Linked DNA regions of Oryctolagus cuniculus. The protein of the gene in region 2 interacts with the protein of the main gene of each other region in a pairwise test. Links are inferred from orthologs where the notes say so. Each region holds a gene or a part of one and is shown on either strand. Other genes may lie near its edges. The genes, in order: VAMP4, LMNA, BNIP3L, myeloid zinc finger 1 and synaptonemal complex central element protein 1.

The links.
Region 1: the proteins of LMNA (region 2) and VAMP4 interact in a two-hybrid assay, tested with the Homo sapiens proteins (2 studies listed by BioGRID and IntAct, with this or other methods). The link is inferred for Oryctolagus cuniculus from reciprocal best matches to the Homo sapiens genes LMNA and VAMP4.
Region 3: the proteins of LMNA (region 2) and BNIP3L interact in a two-hybrid assay, tested with the Homo sapiens proteins (2 studies listed by BioGRID and IntAct). The link is inferred for Oryctolagus cuniculus from reciprocal best matches to the Homo sapiens genes LMNA and BNIP3L.
Region 4: the proteins of LMNA (region 2) and myeloid zinc finger 1 interact in binary tests that used the Homo sapiens proteins (3 or more experiments, as listed by UniProt). The link is inferred for Oryctolagus cuniculus from reciprocal best matches to the Homo sapiens genes LMNA and ZSCAN12.
Region 5: the proteins of LMNA (region 2) and synaptonemal complex central element protein 1 interact in binary tests that used the Homo sapiens proteins (3 or more experiments, as listed by UniProt). The link is inferred for Oryctolagus cuniculus from reciprocal best matches to the Homo sapiens genes LMNA and SYCE1.

The regions. Positions count from the first base shown.
Region 1 is NC_091438.1:26,791,270-26,795,396, forward strand, and holds the start of VAMP4 (vesicle-associated membrane protein 4), read left to right. Parts: upstream 1-1,321; 5' UTR 1,322-1,542; intron 1,543-4,127. UniProt on the Homo sapiens protein: Involved in the pathway that functions to remove an inhibitor (probably synaptotagmin-4) of calcium-triggered exocytosis during the maturation of secretory granules.
Region 2 is NC_091438.1:42,571,722-42,575,234, forward strand, and holds part of LMNA (lamin), read right to left. Parts: intron 2,655-3,513; coding exon 2,529-2,654; intron 2,413-2,528; coding exon 2,242-2,412; intron 2,137-2,241; coding exon 2,011-2,136; intron 1,783-2,010; coding exon 1,562-1,782; intron 1,463-1,561; coding exon 1,243-1,462; intron 825-1,242; coding exon 717-824; intron 585-716; coding exon 465-584; intron 193-464; coding exon 103-192; intron 1-102.
Region 3 is NC_091433.1:47,839,878-47,843,390, forward strand, and holds part of BNIP3L (BCL2/adenovirus E1B 19 kDa protein-interacting protein 3-like), read right to left. Parts: intron 1,630-3,513; coding exon 1,526-1,629; intron 1,397-1,525; coding exon 1,247-1,396; intron 1-1,246.
Region 4 is NC_091449.1:76,766-80,278, reverse strand, and holds part of myeloid zinc finger 1, read right to left. Parts: intron 1,897-3,513; exon of another isoform or gene 1,683-1,896; coding exon 1,247-1,682; intron 824-1,246; coding exon 652-823; intron 312-651; coding exon 253-311; intron 147-252; coding exon 26-146; intron 1-25. UniProt on the Homo sapiens protein: May be involved in transcriptional regulation.
Region 5 is NC_091446.1:234,930-238,943, forward strand, and holds the start of synaptonemal complex central element protein 1, read right to left. Parts: upstream 2,813-4,014; 5' UTR 2,732-2,812; coding exon 2,662-2,731; intron 2,560-2,661; exon of another isoform or gene 2,421-2,559; intron 2,241-2,420; coding exon 2,148-2,240; intron 1,437-2,147; coding exon 1,377-1,436; intron 1,096-1,376; coding exon 1,021-1,095; intron 461-1,020; coding exon 413-460; intron 205-412; coding exon 150-204; intron 1-149. UniProt on the Homo sapiens protein: Major component of the transverse central element of synaptonemal complexes (SCS), formed between homologous chromosomes during meiotic prophase. Requires SYCP1 in order to be incorporated into the central element.

The DNA.
Region 1 (4,127 bases), about 16 Mb from region 2:
AAAGTGAAGAATTACCGTCTCCATAACTGGAGTTCATGAGAAAGAAAACAGGGGAGGAAATAATATAATTCAGGTTGGCTGGAGTCCTGACTCTAAATTCAGTGTTATTTATCATCTTTCAGGTTTACTGGCATATTGGATTCATGGTAACTGTAAAACGACATTTTCTAAGTTTTCACACATGTTAGGGAAATCAAAGGGACTTTGTTCAAGTGATTAAAGGTGAAGTTTGTATTTTCCCTCCCGTAAGCAATCATACCAAAAAGACTGGCAGATCCTTTTGGTTAAAAGACTAAGAGGCCAACGCAGTGGCGCAGTAGCTTGAGCCACCACTTAGGATGCTGACCACCTGTATCAGAGCACTGGTTGGAGCTTCCTAGCTGACTCCCAGCTAACTTACATAGGAAAGCAGCAGAAAATGGCCCAAGTACTTGGGCCCTGCCACCCACGTGAGAGACCAGGAAAGAGAACCCAGCCCCTGACTTCGGGCTAGACCAGACCTGGCTGTTAGAGCCATTTGGGGAGTGAACCTGTACAAGGAAGCTCTCTTTCTCTGTGTCTCTTCCTCTGTCTCTGACATTCTTACTTACAAGTCAAAGCATTTTTTAAAAATCTAAAAAAAAAAAAAAAAAAAAACTAAGAAAAAGAATAGATTACTCACAAATAGTACAGACACAAAATCACTTCAGAGAAGAACTAATTTCTGGGTTATCCGTGGAGGCTGGGACAGAAACTACAAGAGGCTTCCATTCCAGATGGACCACTTTTGTCCTCATCAGTAGCGAACTCCAGCTCTTGAGGGAGCCCAACCCCACTGCTCGCAGTCTGTGAACATAGCAAACTAAATCAGAATCTGAGTAGTGCCCGGGCACCAGTAGTTTCACAAGCCTTCCGGATACGGCAACTCCAGGGGCAAGCCTTAGCGGCGCCTTTTCAATTAGTGCATTAAGTCAACCACACAGAAACAGCAGCAGCATGTAAGAGCGTGTCTACTTCCTCCTCTCCCTGCGTGTCCCTTGGTCCTCTAAGCCACCTTCCTCTTCCCATTCGACTTCCTCAGCCTGGGGACGGATCTCGCACAAGCACCACCTAAAGGTCTTACCGACCCCAGTCACGAAGCTCCGAGCCCCACCCTAAGCTACTTCTCAGCGGCTCCGACACCGCTCCCCTCGCGCCCACCACGCACGCCTGATGCGCGCCAGCACCTCGAGAACCACTGTTCCTCCTCAAAACACAGCATAGCTTGGGTATCCAGATCTCAGACGGCTGGAAGGCCAGAGGTTCTTCGGGGTTAGACGCAGCGGGCGGAATCGACTCCCTCGGCGATCGCCGCGCCCTGGGCTGCCCCCTCCGCCTGCAGCCAGGCCGCGGAGCGCCGATCGGCTCGATGAGCGGGGGCGCAGCTGCGGCGCAGCGGCCGACGCCGGGTCCGCGCCCACTGTCTCCCCCTCCCAGCCTTTTCCCTCGGCTTCCCGCTCCTTCCCCCGCCCGCCCAGCGCCGCCCGCTCGGGAGAGCTGCCGGGAGCTCCCCGGGAGCCTCAGGTACTGGCGCCGGCCTCTTCCCGGCGGGAGGGGCTGGTGTGAGGAGGCAGGAAAGGAAGACGACGCCCCTGCCCCACGGCCCCCCAACGTCCGGGTCGGGCTAGGCGGGCAGGGGTCTAGGGGCCGGGGGCCGAGGAGCCCTGAGAGGGAAGGGGTTGGGGCCGGGGTCGGTGACGGGGTGTGCGGATGGGGGGCGGTTGTGGAGACTGGAGGTGAGGGGTGCGCTGGGGAGATGGGAAGAGAAGGGTGCGTGGATGAGGAAGATTTGTTCAGAGCGGGAGGTAGCTGGGGTGAGTGGGTGTCAGGGGCAGGATGGGCCCGAGTTAGCAGACGTGGGGGTCCGTGGCCTGGTGCGATCGCTGGAGTAAGGGGAGCTGCCTGTTGGAGGCTATGGAAATGGTGCTTTAAGGAAGGGCTGGGGCGAAAACACCAGCCCGTGTACGTTTCTAACCCCGGAAGGCGGGGGTCGGGCAGTACACTTGACAGGTTGTATGAATAACATCTCCAGTGTGTCCAGCCAAGTCTCTATTTCTGAGAGAGGGCAACCAAAGCTGCTGAGAGATGGGAAAGAGAAGTCAGAAAGGGATTGGAGGCTGGGAAAAGGAAGGCTGCTCAAATTCCAGCTTTTGTGAACTGAAAAACATAAATGGTGTGTGTGTGTGTTTGGTTTTCTTTGGAAAGCAAAAAGTCAGCATTTATTAAGCAGCAGATTAGAAGGTTATTACATATAAAGCCACGGAATAGAGAACACACTACAAAAATGCGTACATGAGGTTTTTTACCTGTGATGATGATGTAAGAAGTATAAAGTGTTGTGACATTTTTAAAGTGAATTGTGGAGTGGTGCCTGTCCTCAGTGTGGCAATACATAATGGTGGCTGCCTCATTTACATACAAACACCTAAATTCACAGGTATTTTTGTAGGAGAAATCTTAGGCAGAATATGTACGAATCCAATAGCTGAGCGTGGTTTATTTCTACTAGTTTGATACAAATATCTGTTGCCTTGTGACTCCTCAAGCATAGCTAATTAATCTTCCTTCTGGCTTTTCTGTTTGTCAGACATGATTTCTTGACTTTGTGAGGTTGATTCTTGGAGAATGGGACCTCGAAGGGGGTTTGCTCATCATTAAGATCTTATCTTTAGGTCTCATAAAGGCATTTTACAAGTCTTGCTTTGGGGCTGCTGAGGCAGCCTCTTTGTAGGGTTTAAAATATAAACAAACACATGAGAAAAGCTCAAGTTTCTCAGTTATTTGCTTTGTCATCTGTTTTTCCATGCATTCTGCAACATTCCTGCATGGATGAATTATTTGGAAATTGAAATATGGGGAATAAATGGACAGGACGTATGTGACAAAAACTGTGAATTGAAGAACTCTGGAACTGTTACTTAGGTGGCAACACTGGTTTATGTGACAAGTGGTTGAGTTTCTAACTTGGAAACATTTCTTTTCAGTATTTTTTTTATAGGAAGCTGGCTCAAAATATTTATTACCTTTATTAGGTCTTTGAACCTATACCCTGGTCCTTTTTCTTTCTTCAGTGCCCAACATTAGCTAACAAACTAATGCCTAACAATACCTAATTTAAAGATCTTAAATTCTTATGAAGAGGGAACAGGGCTCCTGGATTATCATGGGAAAATGTGTTTTCCAGGACAGAAATGTGTAACCTAATTGAGTAAATATTGGAGCTAATTATGGGGGCAGGCATTTAGCATAGTGGTTAAGACACTGGTTAAGATGCTTGCATCCCACATTTGAGTGCCTGAGTTCCATTCCTGGCTCCAGCTCCTGGTGTCAACTTCTTGCTAATGCACACTCTGGGAGGCAGCAGAGATGGCTGAAATGATTGGGTTCCTGCCACACATGTGGGAGACGTGGATTGAGTTTCAGGCTCCTGGCATCAGCTGGTAGGGGACCATCGTGGACATTTTGTGAGCAAGTAGCTGGGAACATGTTCTCTCTCTCTCTGTCTCCCTTCCTCCCTCCCTCTCAAATAAGCAAAGAAAGCTGATAATGCACAGCTGTCGAGCAATTTAGGTTTATGTCTCTGCTATTTCAATGACTGAAATGACAAACACTGTTATTTGTATTTACTAAGCCTTATTTTTTCTCTCAGTTTCTTAGTGCCTACTTCAAAAGAGTATCAAAGATTAAAAGAGAAAAATGCATGTGTATGGCTGAGTGCAAGGTGCAGCCCATAGTAAATAACATTCAGTACATCTTAGCTATTCTGAATTGCTGTATATTCACCCATCAAGTTCAAAATGCTGAAAATTCATATTTGCATAGGACAGCTTTTTCTGCCAGAAAATTTTAATTATATTGCATACTCAAGCATATTCCTAGAAAGTTACTATGCATGTTAACATGTAAGGGGCTGAGATGGTTCTGTAGCAAAGACTGGAGCTACTTACCTCAGTTCTGATATAAGGAAAACAAACACAGCTTTTTTTTTTTTTTTTTTTTTTTTTTTTTTTTTTTTTTTTTACTGTCTCATGACACAGAACACTTTTGTGACCCTAGAATTGGGGGGGGGGGGGGCAAACAATTCTTTCATAGATTATCTGGTGGACACC
Region 2 (3,513 bases):
GCCAGTGAAGTTCCAAAACATTCTTTAATGAAAAGATTTTTGGGCGTGAGGGGCTGCCCCCAGGTCTGGCCAGGCTTGGCCTCAGCGGCGGCTGCCACTCACATGGTGATGATGGAGCAGGTCATCTCCATCCTCGTCGTCGTCGTCCTCCACCACAGTCACCGAGCGCACCAGCTTGCGCATGGCCACCTCCTGCCAGGGACACAGACCTGAGGGTGAGGGGCCACACGGGGCCGGCGGGGGGGTGGGGGCGGCGTGCGGCACACCTACCCACGGGGACCGCCAGCAGCCGGCCTGCTGCTGACCCTGCCCTCTGTGGGGCCGGCGCTAAGGAACTTGCTCCCACCCCAGGGAGGCACAACCACCACCCCCACCCCCACCCCCACCCCCCGTAGGAGACCGGCAAAGTGACCGTCCGACTGTGGCCACTAGGGGGAGCCCTGCCCAGCCCGCAGCACACTCACTTCCCCAGTGGAATTGATGAGAGCCGTGCGCAGGCTGTTTCCACAGCCCCAAGTGTTCTGCGCCTTCCACACCAGGTCGGTAGGGGGGCTGTGGGTGGCCCCGGCTCCAGCAGCCCAGATCTGGAGAAAAGGAAGCGGGAAAGGGCACTCACTCCGTGCTACTGTCCTCAGGCCCGTCCTCCACACACACACACACACACACACACACCCCGCCCCAGGCTACCGCAGGGCGCCAAGCGCCCTGCCACTCACCGTCACCACCTGCCCGGCCTTCAGGGTGAACTTGGGCGGGAAGCGGTAAGTCAGCAAGGGGTCATCTCCGTTTTGGCGCTTGATCTGCCAGTTGCCCATGGACTGGTCCTGCCAGGCAGGGAGGGAAGGGGGAGAAGGGGAGGTGTATCCTGGTTCTTTGGGTTAATCTCACCCGCTGCCGGCACTCAGAGGCTCCTGGTCCCTCTACCCCATTACTGCCTTGCCCCCCCCCCCTACTAAAAAACAGCCGCCACCATGGACTTCATGGTGCGCCATCTTTCACCTGGGGGCTATCACTCATGTCCATTTTACAGATGAGCAGACTGATCCCCCGAGAGGCGACATAACTTGTCCCAGGTTTCCCAGGCAGGACTGGAACCAGGGAGCGGGAGACATACACACTGGCCCTGGCTGCCCGCAGAGGGAATGAAGGAAGGGTCCTCCCGGGTTCCCTCCGCCCTTCCTCTTGCAGTATCCCCTCAGGCCCCGCCCAGGATGGGGTGTGGTGGGGAAGGGGCGGGGCTACCTCATTGGACTTGTTGCGCAGCCGCACAAACTTGCCCTCCTCATCCACCTCCTCCACTGCCACGCGCCCGCTGGTGCGCGCGTGCTGCGAGAAGCTGCTGCGGCTCTCGGCCGACTCCAGCTTCCGCTTCTTGGTGATGCTGCCCCCGCCCTGCGTCTGGGACGAGTGCGAAGAGGCACGGCCCCTGCGCTGCGAGGTGGGACTGGGGGACAGGCGTAGCCTGGGGAGGGGAGGAGACAGAGTTAGGGGAAGGGGTCTCATGCAGGCCCGGCGCAGGCCAGGGCCTATTGCTGGAGCTCCCGGGTGCTCCCCAGCCCACCTCTCCTCCTCGCCCTCCAGGAGCTTGCGGTAGGCATGGATCTCCATGTCCAGGGCCAGCTTGATGTCCAGCAGCTCCTGGTACTCGTCCAGCTGCTGCTGCATCCTTGCCCGCATCTCGGCCATCTCCCGCTCTTTCTCCGCCAGCAGCCGCCGGCTGGTGTCCCGCTCCCGGGCCAGCGAGTCCTCCAGGTCCCGCAGCTTCGCTTCCTTGGCTGCCAGCTGAGATGGGGAGAGGCGGGGGTGTGTGAGCTCCCGAGGGGAAAATCAACACGCCCTAGACGTGCAGGTGCAGTGAGACAAAGCGGACAGGACACTTGCTTCCAAATCCTGGGCCCCAGCTCATTCTCTCGGCCTGCAGTCCTGGAGGCGTGCTCATCTCTCCCCTCCCCTCCGCCCTCCAGACCTCACCCTGGGTGCCCCCCCCATCCGTGCTGTCCCCAGAGGCACCTGCTTCTGCAGCTGGCTGAGCTGGGCCGAGAGGCTGTCGATGCGGATGCGGGACTGCTGCAGCTCCTCGTGCGCGGCCCCCACCAGGTTGCTGTTCCGCTCAGCAGACTGCCTGGCGTTGTCCAGCTGCGGGGAAGGCCGGGGGGGCGGGGGGAGTTTAGGAGGGCGGGGCCTGAGGACGGCATTGCTGGGGCGGCCTCAGATCCCGGGGTGGGGTGTGGGGGGGGGCACCTTGGCGGAGTAGGTCTTCTCCAGCTCCTTCTTGTATTGCTCCACCTGGTCCTCGTGCTGGGCCCGCAGTTCCTGCAGCGCGTCGGCCAGCCGGCTCTCAAACTCGCGCTGCTTCCCGTTGTCGATCTCCACCAGCCGGGTCTCGTGGCGCCGCTTGGTCTCACGCAGCTCCTGGAAGGGGTGGGAACAAGGACACGGAACCCATAAATCGGCCCCCGTTCCTTACAGCTCGGGCCTGGCCCGGCCCCCTGGCCCCGGCATCTCCAACCCCCATGCGCAAGCCCCACCTCGCTGTAGATGTTCTTCTGGAAGTCCAGCTCCTCCTTCAGGGTCTGCAGCCGGTTCTCGGCGTCCACTCGCCGCAGCATCTCGTCCTGCAGCTGCTTCTTGGCCTCCCCCAGGGCTGCCTCGAGCTAAGAGGAAGTGGGCAGAGGGGTCACGGGATGTGCCAGCTGCAGCGATGCCGAGCCCCAGGCCGTTCCCAGCGGGTCCCTTCCATGCATAGGGACAGGTCCAGGGGGAAGCGAGGCCTTGGGGTGCCCGGGGAGGTTAGGATGGGGATGACTTGGGTAGCTCTTGTGCTAAGAAATGAAAGCCACAGCCCTCCCACCCTCGTAAGACCTCCAAACTGTGGCACAAGATAGCAGTTGCTAGGAGGGCGGTGTGTACAGAGCACAGCGGGGAAGGAACCAGTGTGGCTGGAGTGGTGGAAGAAGGGGTCTGGGAGGCTTGATAGGGCAGCCTGGGGAGGGGCCAAGACAGCACGTGCAAAGGCACGGGGCTACGAAGGCACACACGTGTTCTAGGGCCTTCAGCTGATGGATGGGGCGGTGAAGTGATGGGTCATACAGAGATCCCTTTTTCAAAATTAATTAGATTTTTTATTTATTTGCGGGAAGAGAGATCAGCCATCTGCTGTTTCACTCCCCAAATGCCCACAACAGCCAAGCCTGGGGGAGGCTGAAGCCAGGGGCGGAGAACTGCATCTGGGTCTCCCATGTGGGAGCCATCCCTGCTGCCTCCTGTTCGCATTAGCAGGAAGCTGGAATAGGGAGCAGAGCCGGGACTCGAACCTGCTCAGCCACACCCGTGCCTTCTGCAGAGCTGTCTTTATCTGCCACGGAAAGAACCTCTGAGAAGCTCATACTGGGCAGCACCCTGCTCAGATGTTTGTTCTAGAAAGCACGGGCTGGGGGAAGGGTGGAGCTGGCGGCAGAAGATCCAGGAGGCCAGCTGAGGTTTTGTCATCGTCCGCTGGCATCTCCCATCTCC
Region 3 (3,513 bases), on a different chromosome or scaffold from region 2:
TGGAAAGTTGTATCTGTGTCTCTGTGTTCGCATCTCTGTGTGACAGCTGAGTTCCCCACAAAGGGAAGAGATGGCCATCTTTGGTACATCACATACAGAAAATGACCACTCAACAAGCTTCCAGAGAATAACAAGTTGCTCTTGAAAAAAATTACCAGCCAGGGGCCGGCACTGCGGCCTCGTGGGTAAAGCCGCTGCTTGCAGTGCTGGCGTCCATATGGGCGCCGGTGTGGGAGACCCAGAAGAAGCTCCTGGCTTCGGATCTGCACAGCTCTGGCAGTTGCAGCCAACTGGGGAGTGAACCAGCGGATGGAAGACCTTTCTCTCTGTCTCTATCTGCCCCTGCCTTTCAAATAAATAAAAAAAATACTAAAAAATAAAAAGAAAAAATTATCAGCCACAGCTGGCATTGTAGTATAACAACCTAAGCTGCCACCCGCAATGCCAGCATCTCATCTGGGTGCCAGTTCAAGTCCTGGCTGCTCACTTCCCATCCAACTCCCTGCTAATGAGCCTGGGAAAGCAGTGGAAGACGGTCTAAGAACTTGGGTCCCTGCACCCACAGGGGAGACCTGGATGAAGCTCCTGGCTCTGGCATGGCCCCGACCCAGCTGTTGTGGCCATTTGTGGAGTGAACCAATGGATGGAAGCTCTCTCTCTGTAACTCTGCCTTTCAAATAAATAAATCTAAAAAAAAAAAAAAAAAATTACCAACTACTATTTAACTCTTAAAATGTTTTATAAGTGTCCTCACTTGTTCAAATCAAGGAAAAAATATTTAAAAGACAGGCCTTTAAAAAGTAATGAGTTACTGGCAAATATGAGGCTGATTTTAGACTAAATGAAAATGCTACACAGAAAAGAAAGCAGCGCCCACAACCCACCTACCAGTTCCACTCCAGTGTCTACTCAGTGTTATGGCGCATCTTCTCATCCGGGAAAAAAAGCATCAACCCCCAAGTGTTCAGACTAAAAATTACTTTTCTGTATAAGTTATTCAAGACTTAAATGTTAAGCAACAAAACCCAAAGAGAAAAATTCAGTATGAACATCTTATTTTCAAATAGGAAAAAAGTCCTATTATTAAAAATCCTTATTATGGGTACACCAAACATGTACCAAGTTTAATCCTCGCTTGAGTTAAAACAAAAGCAAAGCAATTCACACTGCGTTCACAAGTTTCTTACTGCAAAGAAACCACGAGGGCGGGATGAATGGAAGAAAGGAGGCATTCGCTGGTACTTACCCCAGCCCCAAAGCCAGCACGTGGGAAAGGAAGAGAGACGGGATGAAGACCTTCAGGAACTCTGCAGAGAAAATGCCCCCTTTCTTCATGGCGCCGCTTTTCCTCATGCTTAAAGACACAGAACGTTTCGGGTGCCGGAAGTGGAACTCCCTGAGAAGGAAAACCAGAGCTGGTGTCACAATCGCATCTGCTGATGCCACGGGGATGACCAGGCCCACTGCCACCAGGCGTGTGAAACAGAACCCCGGCACCCACGGAGAAGGCACGTGGAGAACTCACTTGGGTGGAATGTTTTCAGGTCTACTGGACCAATCCGATACCCAGTCTGCACTCTTCTTCAAAGCCTCTACTTCCTTCTCTCCTTCCACAACTTCTTCTTCTGACTGTAAACAAGAAAGCAAAACCAACTGCTCATTCAAAGACGTAGCTGGCAAACAATAGACTGAACTCACATAGCTGTGCACCGGTAATTTATCTGTAATATGCTACTTTTTTTTCTTTTAACAAAAGGCTGACAGAATGATCTAAGATTAGAGTATTCAGTATCTTTAAAGAACTCAAGGGGCTGGGACTGGCATTGTGGTGCAGCAGGTAAAACTACCACGTGCGACACTGGCATCCTAGCACTGGCTCAAGTCCACTGTTCTTGAGAACCAGCTCCCTGCTAATGCGCCTGGGAAGCAGCAGCAGATGGTCTAAGTGCCTGGGCCCCTGCCATCCACACGGCTGACTGGGATGAAGCTCCTTGGCTTCGGTTTGGCTCTGCTCTGGCCACTGCCGCCATTTGGGGAGTGAACCAGTGGATGGAAGACCTCTCTCTCCTTCTCTCCCTCTGACTTTCAAGTAAAAAATAAGATAAATCTTAGGGAAAAAAAGTAGTTAAGACATGCAGAGCCTGACACATCCACATGATACTTTTTCCACAGGAGCCGGCCACTACACACAGTCCCTTCCAGCACAGAAACCCCAGGGGAAGCCCTGTGTTCGTGGGTGACTCTTGTGAGTGCCATTCTTAGCTAGTTCTGCTGAACTTGGCAGATTCCACACCGTGACACAATGTAGCATTTACGGGTGAGCTTTTTCCATTGGGCATTGAGATTACTCAGAATCATGAGTTGGCTCTTTGAAGTGAGACTGAAATCATCCTAACTCACAAACAATGAAACGGCACAGTTTACTTGCAGATTGGCTGTGCACACAGAGGCTCTGACTGTGAACACACTGCAGGGCCTTTCAGTTTACAGCTTCTCCACTGGCCTCACTTGTCTCTTTAAAACTGCTCAAAGATTTAGGTTCAGATCCTTGAACAAGTTAATACTACCTATTTTCCAATAGGAAAATAAGCTAAGATTTTATGCTCTCAAAAATTTTTTGCTCAGAGGATACAATTTTTCTCTCAGTTGAGTAAAACAACATTATCTTTGGATTAGTATTAAATACAAAAAACGCCAGGTAAGTTTCTAGCCGAATTTTAATGCTAACTTTAAAAATAACAGTTCTGTGCATTCCTCACTTACTCCTGCTCTGTGCTTTCCTTTTATTAATCACAAATTTGCTACTTTTAGCTTTTAAATTGCCTCCCAGTGCTTGGAATTGCAGAGTATGAAAAGAAAAAAATCATATTATCTAGTTATCTAAGATTCTTGGTTTTAACTAAATCAATAACCTTCTCTCTACATCCATCAATATCTGTTCAGAGAAGATTCTGATCAATTTAGCCTGGTGTCATGTGAAGTCCCTCATCTCCTAATCACTTAAGTTTTCTCTCTTTGGTCTGTTGTAAGCTTTCCTAGGTGTCTAAAGGTGGATATTCAGCTCCATGGACAGAGAGACCAGCTTCCTAACAGAGGAACAAGGAGGACATCATCTTTCAATGACACCCAACAGCCAGCCAGCCTGTCTGGCCACACACAGAGCAAAAATATCTTCAATGTCCATATTCTGCTACAAAACCTAGACCCTCAAAGACTATCATCCTGTAAGCCCAGCTGGAGAGACCTCTGTCCTAAATGCATCGCCTCAGGCGTCTCCCTACTGCACTCGCCAGGGATTTTCTGTTCATTCTCAGGATCCTGTCAGCTCTCAATCCCCTTCTGTGGCCTAGTTTAGTAGAAGGAACAGGGGCCACAGACGCAGACGGGCCCACTTCTGGTCTGCTTCTAGCTCTACCCTGCTCTGTGGTTGTAGATACGGAACTTATTAGGACAAAGCTTCGTTTCTCCCATTTTTTGTGGGAATAATATCATCTCTTTCGCTGCACTGAGGAC
Region 4 (3,513 bases), on a different chromosome or scaffold from region 2:
CCCCACCATGTCCTGTCTCACTCACCTGGAGAGAAGATGTCTCCAGCTTCCTCATGCCATAGGGGCCCTGGGCAGTCCTTCCATGAGGGCCCCTCAGGCCCAGTCTCACTCTGTGGAGAGGCCTGGTCCAGCGCTGTCTCACAGCCCTGAAACCAGAGTGGCCACTGCTCACTTATGCCCAGCTGGGCCCAGGCAGAGGGCCTCCCTGACACTCTGACTCAGGGAGTGGGTCGCAGGCTGTACAGGGCTCACCTGGGCCTCCTCAGGTGGAAGGGTGGGTACAGCCTCTAGAAGCCCAGAGTCCAGAAGCTCTAGAGAGAAAGAGTGGGTCAGGCAGTCCAAGGGAGTTCTCACTGGTGTGCCGTGAGCCAGGACTTAGGCAGGGAGAAGATCTGGGTATGGGCTGGGGTGGGGCAAAGCAGGGTACCCTGGGAGGTGAGGGGTCAAGCTGCAGTGGTATGAGGTGGCTTGCATGCCAGGGGACAGCTGTGGAAGTGGGGCTGTGGCCGTCAGGGCTGACATCTAAAGGGGGGTGAGTCAGAGGGGAGACCTGACTGGGTGAGAGATGGGAACCATTCCATCTAACAGGGGTGCGGCTCAGTGGACTCAGACTGCCTAGTCCAGGCCACCCTGGTCCCTGCCCACCCTCACCTGGGTCTTCTGTAACCTCTGGCTCCTCTTTCACCTGTAGGCCCAGTGGTGACTGCTGCATGGCCTCAGGCAGTATCTTGGGCCCAGGCTCTGGAGTTTGAGGTAGAGAATGGAAGCTGGAGGGGTCCATCCTCTCTGATAGGACCTCTTGGCCCTGCACATGGACTGTGACCTGTGGAGGTGTCCCCACCATGAGGGCCAAGCAGAAAATAGGGCTGTGTGCGGCTTGGAGTCCAGGGACACCCACCCATTCCAAGACCCCACGGATCTGCCTGGTAAACCTAAGTCCTTCAAGGACCTACCTCCTCTGGGCTCCAGTCAGGAAGTAAAGTTGCTTTCCTGCTGACACACAGCACTACCTGGTACCCTCCTCTCTCCCATCCTGTAGTTCCCAGGTGATGCAAGAATGGGCTGGTGAGCCTGGCTCTGGAACCCCTCCCTGCCCTGGGCAGCCTTGCAGTCTACTGCAGTGTGGTCCCTCCTCTCCCACAGGGATATGCATGTGTGTGACGACGGCACCTCCCCCCACCCCCAGAGTAAAGCGCAGCTGGACAGCGCTCCGGCCTGACCCCTCTGCTCAGGGCCACTGACTCACCCATCGCCGAGGCCCGCCTGGCTCCTGGCGAAGCCTGTCAACCAAGGTAGCAGCCTCCTCGGGGCTGCCTGGCTGCTGCCCCTGCACATGAACCTGGATCTCGGGGGGCAGCGCGCCCAGGAACTGCTCCAGCACCAGCAGCTCCAGCATCTGCTCCTTGGAGTGCACATCCGGCTGCAGCCAGTCCCGACACAGCTCTCGGAGCCGGGCCAGGGCCTCTCGGGGACCCACTGCCTCCTCGTAGCGGAAACACCGGAAGCGCAGGCGTGCGGCCTCGGGGCCTGGGTCCCACAGGGCAGCTTCGCCTTCCTCCTCGGAGTCCTCCAGCTTCACCGTGAAAGGCCCCTCGTCTTCTGGGGGTGTGCCACCTGCGGAGCCCAGCCCAGCTGGTCTCATTGAGAGTAACAGAGCAGCTCTCTGAGGCCGTTGTCTGCCCCTAGAGCAAGCACAGACAGTGGCAGCACACACAGGTAGAACACCCACTGAATGAACCTCCAACCTGCCCCGCTTGGAGGGCAGATGATCAGACAAGCACGGGCCACGCCCAGGGCTGTCGGGGCTGGGCGCTTCCACTGAGCCACTGCTGCTGGCTTCTTAGCTGGGCCTGTGTGGAGTGTGGTCGCTCTTACCCCAAACAGTGTTTCTTAGGCCTAGAAGAGACCTTCTCCTAAATACAGCCACCTTCCATGAGCGCAGTCTCATCCCTGCTCTGTGCTGTCCTACCAGGTGGACACACCTGTACCACCTGCTGCCCACTCGCTCCCAGCACCTGCACCACCGGCTGCCTACTCCCTCCCACACCTGTACAACTGCTGCCCACTCCCTCCCACACCTGCACCACCTGCTGCCCACTCCCTCCCACACCTGCACCACCTACTGCCCACTCCCTCCCGCACCTGTACCACCTGCTGCCCACTCCCTCCCACACCTGCACCACCTACTGCCCACTCCCTCCCACACCTGTACAACTGCTGCCTACTCCCTCCCAGCACCTACACCACCTACTGCCCACTCCCTCCCACACCTGCACCACCTACTGCCCACTCCCTCCCGCACCTGCACCACCTACTGCCCACTCCCTCCCACACCTGCACCACCTACTGCCCACTCCCTCCCGCACCTGCACCACCTACTGCCCACTCCCTCCCACACCTGCACCACCTACTGCCCACTCCCTCCCGCACCTACACCACCTACTGCCCACTCCCTCCCACACCTGCACCACCTGCTGCCCACTCCCTCCCACACCTGCACCACCTGCTGCCCACTCCCTCCCGCACCTGCACCACCTGCTGCCCACTCCCTCCCACACCTGTACCACCTGCTGCCCACTCCCTCCCACACCTGCACCACCTGCTGCCCACTCCCTCCCACACCTGTACCACCTGCTACCCACTCCCTCCCAGCACCTGCACCACCTGCTGCCCACTCCCTCCCACACCTGCACCACCTGCTACCCACTCCCTCCCACACCTGTACAACTGCTGCCCACTCCCTCCCACACCTGCACCACCTGCTGCCCACTCCCTCCCACACCTGTACCACCTGCTACCCACTCCCTCCCAGCACCTGCACCACCTGCGGCCCACTCCCTCCCACACCTGCACCACCTACTGCCCACTCCCTCCCACACCTGCACCACCTACTGCCCACTCCCTCCCAGCACCTGCACCACCTGCTGCCCACTCCCTCCCACACCTGCACCACCTACTGCCCACTCCCTCCCACACCTGCACCACCTGCTGCCCACTCCCTCCCACACCTGCACCACCTACTGCCCACTCCCTCCCAGCACCTGCACCACCTGCTGCCCACTCCCTCCCACACCTGCACCACCTGCTGCCCACTCCCTCCCACACCTGCACCACCTGCTGCCCACTCCCTCCCAGCACCTGCACCACCTACTGCCCACTCCCTCCCGCACCTGCACCACCTGCTGCCCACTCCCTCCCACACCTGCACCACCTGCTGCCCACTCCCTCCCACACCTGCACCACCTGCTGCCCACTCCCTCCCGCACCTGCACCACCTACTGCCCACTCCCTCCCACACCTGTACCACCTACTGCCCACTCCCTCCCACACCTGCACCACCTGCTGCCCACTCCCTCCCACACCTGCACCACCTGCTGCCCACTCCCTCCCGCACCTGCACCACCTACTGCCCACTCCCTCCCACACCTGCACCACCTGCTGCCCACTCCCTCCCACACCTGCACCACCTGCTGCCCACTCCCTCCCGCACCTGCACCACCTACTGCCCACTCC
Region 5 (4,014 bases), on a different chromosome or scaffold from region 2:
CAGTGGAAGATGGCCCAAGTGCTTGGGCCCCTGCACCCGTGTGGGTGACCTGGAGGAAGCTGAGGGGAGGCCCCCTTTGACCCACACTGTACAGAGGGTCTCAACCTCACCTCCTTTGTACCTCTGCCCCCTCACAACGAGGCTCTCACCTCTGTGCCTCACTCTCCTTCTCCTGGCAGTGCAGCCGGAGGATCCTCAGGGTCTCTGTGGGGAGAACAGGGCCTGTGAGCTCGTCACGGCCCCAGGTCTGCGCAGAGAACAGGACCAGGTCACGTCAGGCCCATGGACACCTGATTGGACTGGTACACGCCACAGGAGGCTGAGGCAGGTGTCTGAGACCTCAGCTGCCAAAGGGAGAGGGGTTTCTCCCAGGCGTGAGAGGCAGAGCTGGAGACGGAGGGCCTGTAAATACCTTGCTTTTTGTTCAGGATCTCCTGCACACGTGCTTTCTCTCCATGCACTAGAAGACACAACAAATGCTCAGGCATCAGGAGGGACCCCACAGACCCTCAGGGATTGGGTGGCCCGCGTCACATGGGTCTGCCTCACCCCCCAGACCCCGCCCCTCTGGTGCCCACCCTCTCTGTAGGCACCAAACAACCCTGACATTTATTAAGGGTGGCTGGGGGGACTCCACGGGATGCCAGTGTCTCTCCTCCCACGTGAAATGGGGTGAGGACATGGAGCAGGAAGGGCATCTGACCAGTGGGGACAGTGTGGAATCTTTAGGTAGGGGGATTGGGAAAAGCCTCCGAGAAGGGGACAGCTGAGTGACAACCCAGGCAGCAGAGGAATCTGTAGTATCTGGGAGTTGCAGGGCAGCCGGGCAAAGGCCCAGAAGCAAGAGTATGCTGGGGAGGTGTTCCCAGGACACCCGCACCAGCAGAGGGGAGAGGGAGATACGGGCAGGGCCTGAGGCTGCAAAGGGGCAGGGCTCTTGGCCACAGCATAGATGCCGCAGTACTCGGGTGGGGTAAGCTGGACACTGCAGAGGCCTCCGGCGACGCCCACGTCACATACACACATCCAGTTCCTTCTGCAGGGCTTCCCACACAGTCCGGGCTTCCCCCAGCTCCTCGCTGGCTTTCTTTTTGGCTTCAACAAAGAGCAGAAGGGAGACACTGTGTGAGTACGGCCGGGGCAGCACCACCCTCTTGCAAACATGAACACTGCACGCCTGTTTTCCAGCAAACATGGAGGGGCCTGAATCTTACAGAGGAGGTGACAAGGCTCCTGATAGCACTGTGGCAGGTGCGTGGGGAACGCTCTGGTATTAATTAGTGCTCTGCCGTTGTGCTGTGACTATCTGTAATTTTCAGACGAGGAGCCCTACACATCACACAGCCCCCGCTGCAGGCCAAGGTCCCTGAGCTCACCTTGCTGAACCTCATTAATGCGGTTAATCAGGACCTCGACTCGGGGCTCCAGGCTCCCCACTGCAGGGAGTAAACAGAGATGGAGCTGACACAGCGGGAGGCCATGGTTCCCGCCCTGCCCGTGCTGCTTCCGGTTCACAGACTCCCAGCAGGGCTGTGTGGTCCCCTTACAGCTCACATTCTCGGTGGGAGACAAGAAACAGACAGCTGGAGATCCGGACACAGGGAAAGAGAAGTGAAGTGTGATAACGGGTTATAAAGTGAGGAGTGAGTGTGTGTGTGTGTGTGTCAGAGTGTGTGTGAAAGTGTGAGTGTGTGTCAGTGTGCACTGAGTGTGTGTGATGGGGGATGGCACTGGTGCAGCGGGCAAAGCTGCCAGTGGAGACAACCGGCATCCCACGTGGGCTCCACGTCCAGTGTCGGCTGCTTCCGCTGGGCCCAGCTCCCGAATTCACCCGGGAAAGCAGTGGAAGATGGTCCGTGTCCTTGGGTCCCTGTACCCACGTGGGAGGCCTAGAGGAAGCTCCTGGCCCCTGGCTTTGCACTGGCCCAGCCGTGGCCACTGCAGCCTTTTGGAGAGTGAACCGGCGGCTGGAAGACCTCGCCTGTCTCCCCCGGCCCCGTACTGGGCCTTTCAAATAAATAAGTGAACTCTTTATAAAAAGTAAGCAAACACCGTGGAAGGAAAGAATACGTGAAAGAAAGCGCTCGGGGCTGAGTCCTCGGCGTGGTGAGCCGTGGGCCTGCACCGAGCCCACAGGCTGACCCTACCCAGGCCGAGCCCCTGACCACGGGACACAGGACCTTTCTGCAGCCTCGCCACCACGTCCATCAGGTCGTCAATCTTCTGTGACTTGTCCTGCCCTGTGGTGCGAAACCACGCCCGTCAGCGTGAAGACGGGGCCCAGGAGGGCCCGCCGGCCCGGGCCCAGGGGCACTCCCAGAGCTGCGGCCCCGTCCCTGTGTGCAGCCCTGGGTGGGCAGGACGGACCCTGCGGGCGGGCGACATCCGACAGGGGGCGCGGCGCGGGCGGGGGCTCGGACCTGGCGGGGCTGGGGGCCCTGCCGCCCCCTCCCGTCCTGGCGGCGAGGCGCGGTCTGGGGAACCCCCTGGGAAGCCTGCTTGCGCTCAGGTGAGGACCACGGGGACCGCGAGTCCGCAGGTGCGTCGGGGCCAGGAAGGCGGGGCCAGGCCCGGCACGCCCGGCCGACGCCACCCCACGCCTTCCGCTCTTGGAAGCCGCGACGCCCCCTGCCCAGGGAGGCCCCGCCGCGCTCCCGCCACCTGCAGCCTTCTCGGCGCGGTCCGCGGCGCCCATGGGCTCCACACGCGAAGGCCCGGACCGCGCGGCCATTTCCTCTCAGCTCGGCGGCGCCTGTGCCTCGGCGCCTTGACCGCTGATTGGACGACGCTGACGCCTGCGCAGTGCGCTCAGCGCGCCGTCACCCAGCGGGGCGCCCTGCCCGGCAGCCACTGCGCATGCGCACGTATGCAGGCATGTGCACCTCAGCTGTGTGCACATACGTGTACAGCTGTGTCCGCATCTCCTCTGTGTACACACATGTACAGCGTGGTCTGTGTCTCAGCTGTGTGCACACTCGTGTGCAGGTGTGTCTGTGATCAATTCTTTGGTTCAGTTGTTCTCCAAAACAGATGAGCATTGGATATGCTGATTGCCGCTCAGGGAGGTGTCTGCCATGCTCCAGGAAGAACGTTGTTCCTGGGTCAATCAGACTGCACAGGTACAAACCCAAATTTGTCCTTTCCTGGACAAAGCCAAACAGCTGCAGGATCAGGCCAAGCAGGGCTGGGATTTCTGGCCTGACAGCTGGTCATGGAAATCCTGACTATTTCCTTTCTTTGGCCCTATAACTTCTGTAATCTTGATGCTTCTCTTTGGACTGTATGTTTGTTCATTTTGTTTCTAACATTATAAAAGCTGTCGAACTCCAAATGGTCGTCAGGCAAGGCTTCCAGCCCATTCCATTGGACAACCTGAGCAGCACTCTGGACTAAGCAGGACAGTCTTTCCAGGGCCACTGTCGCACACTATAGGACAGGTAGCAAGAGGAAATATCCAGGCCAGTGCTGTGGCTCACTAGGCTAATCCTCTGCCTTGCGGCGCCGGCACACTGGGTTCTAGTCCCGGTCGGGGCACCGGATTCTGTCCCGGTTGCCCCTCTTCCAGTCCAGCTCTCTGCTGTGGCCCAGGAGTGCAGTGGAGGATGGTCCAAGTGCTTGGGCCCTGCACCCCATGGGAGACCAGGATAAGTACCTGGCTCCTGCCATCGGATCAGCGCGGTGCGCCGGCCGCAGCAGCCATTGGAGGGTGAACCAACGGCAAAGGAAGACCTTTCTCTCTGTCTCTCTCTCTCACTGTCCACTCTGCCTGTCAAAAAAAAAAAAAAAAAAAAAAAAAGAGGAAATATCCATATCCATCTCTACGCCCATTTGTCAGCTTCCAAAGTAGCTACAGAAGATGGAACTTCGCCCATTTATCCCAAAAAGAATTATGGGAATTTCTCTCTTGAGGGGGGAATGTTAGGTAGGAAGTCAGAAATTAGCTTATGTGTGTGTGACAAGGCATCTGCATCTCAAAGTCACCCCGATAACTTTCCAGGTACAGCCCAGTATCTG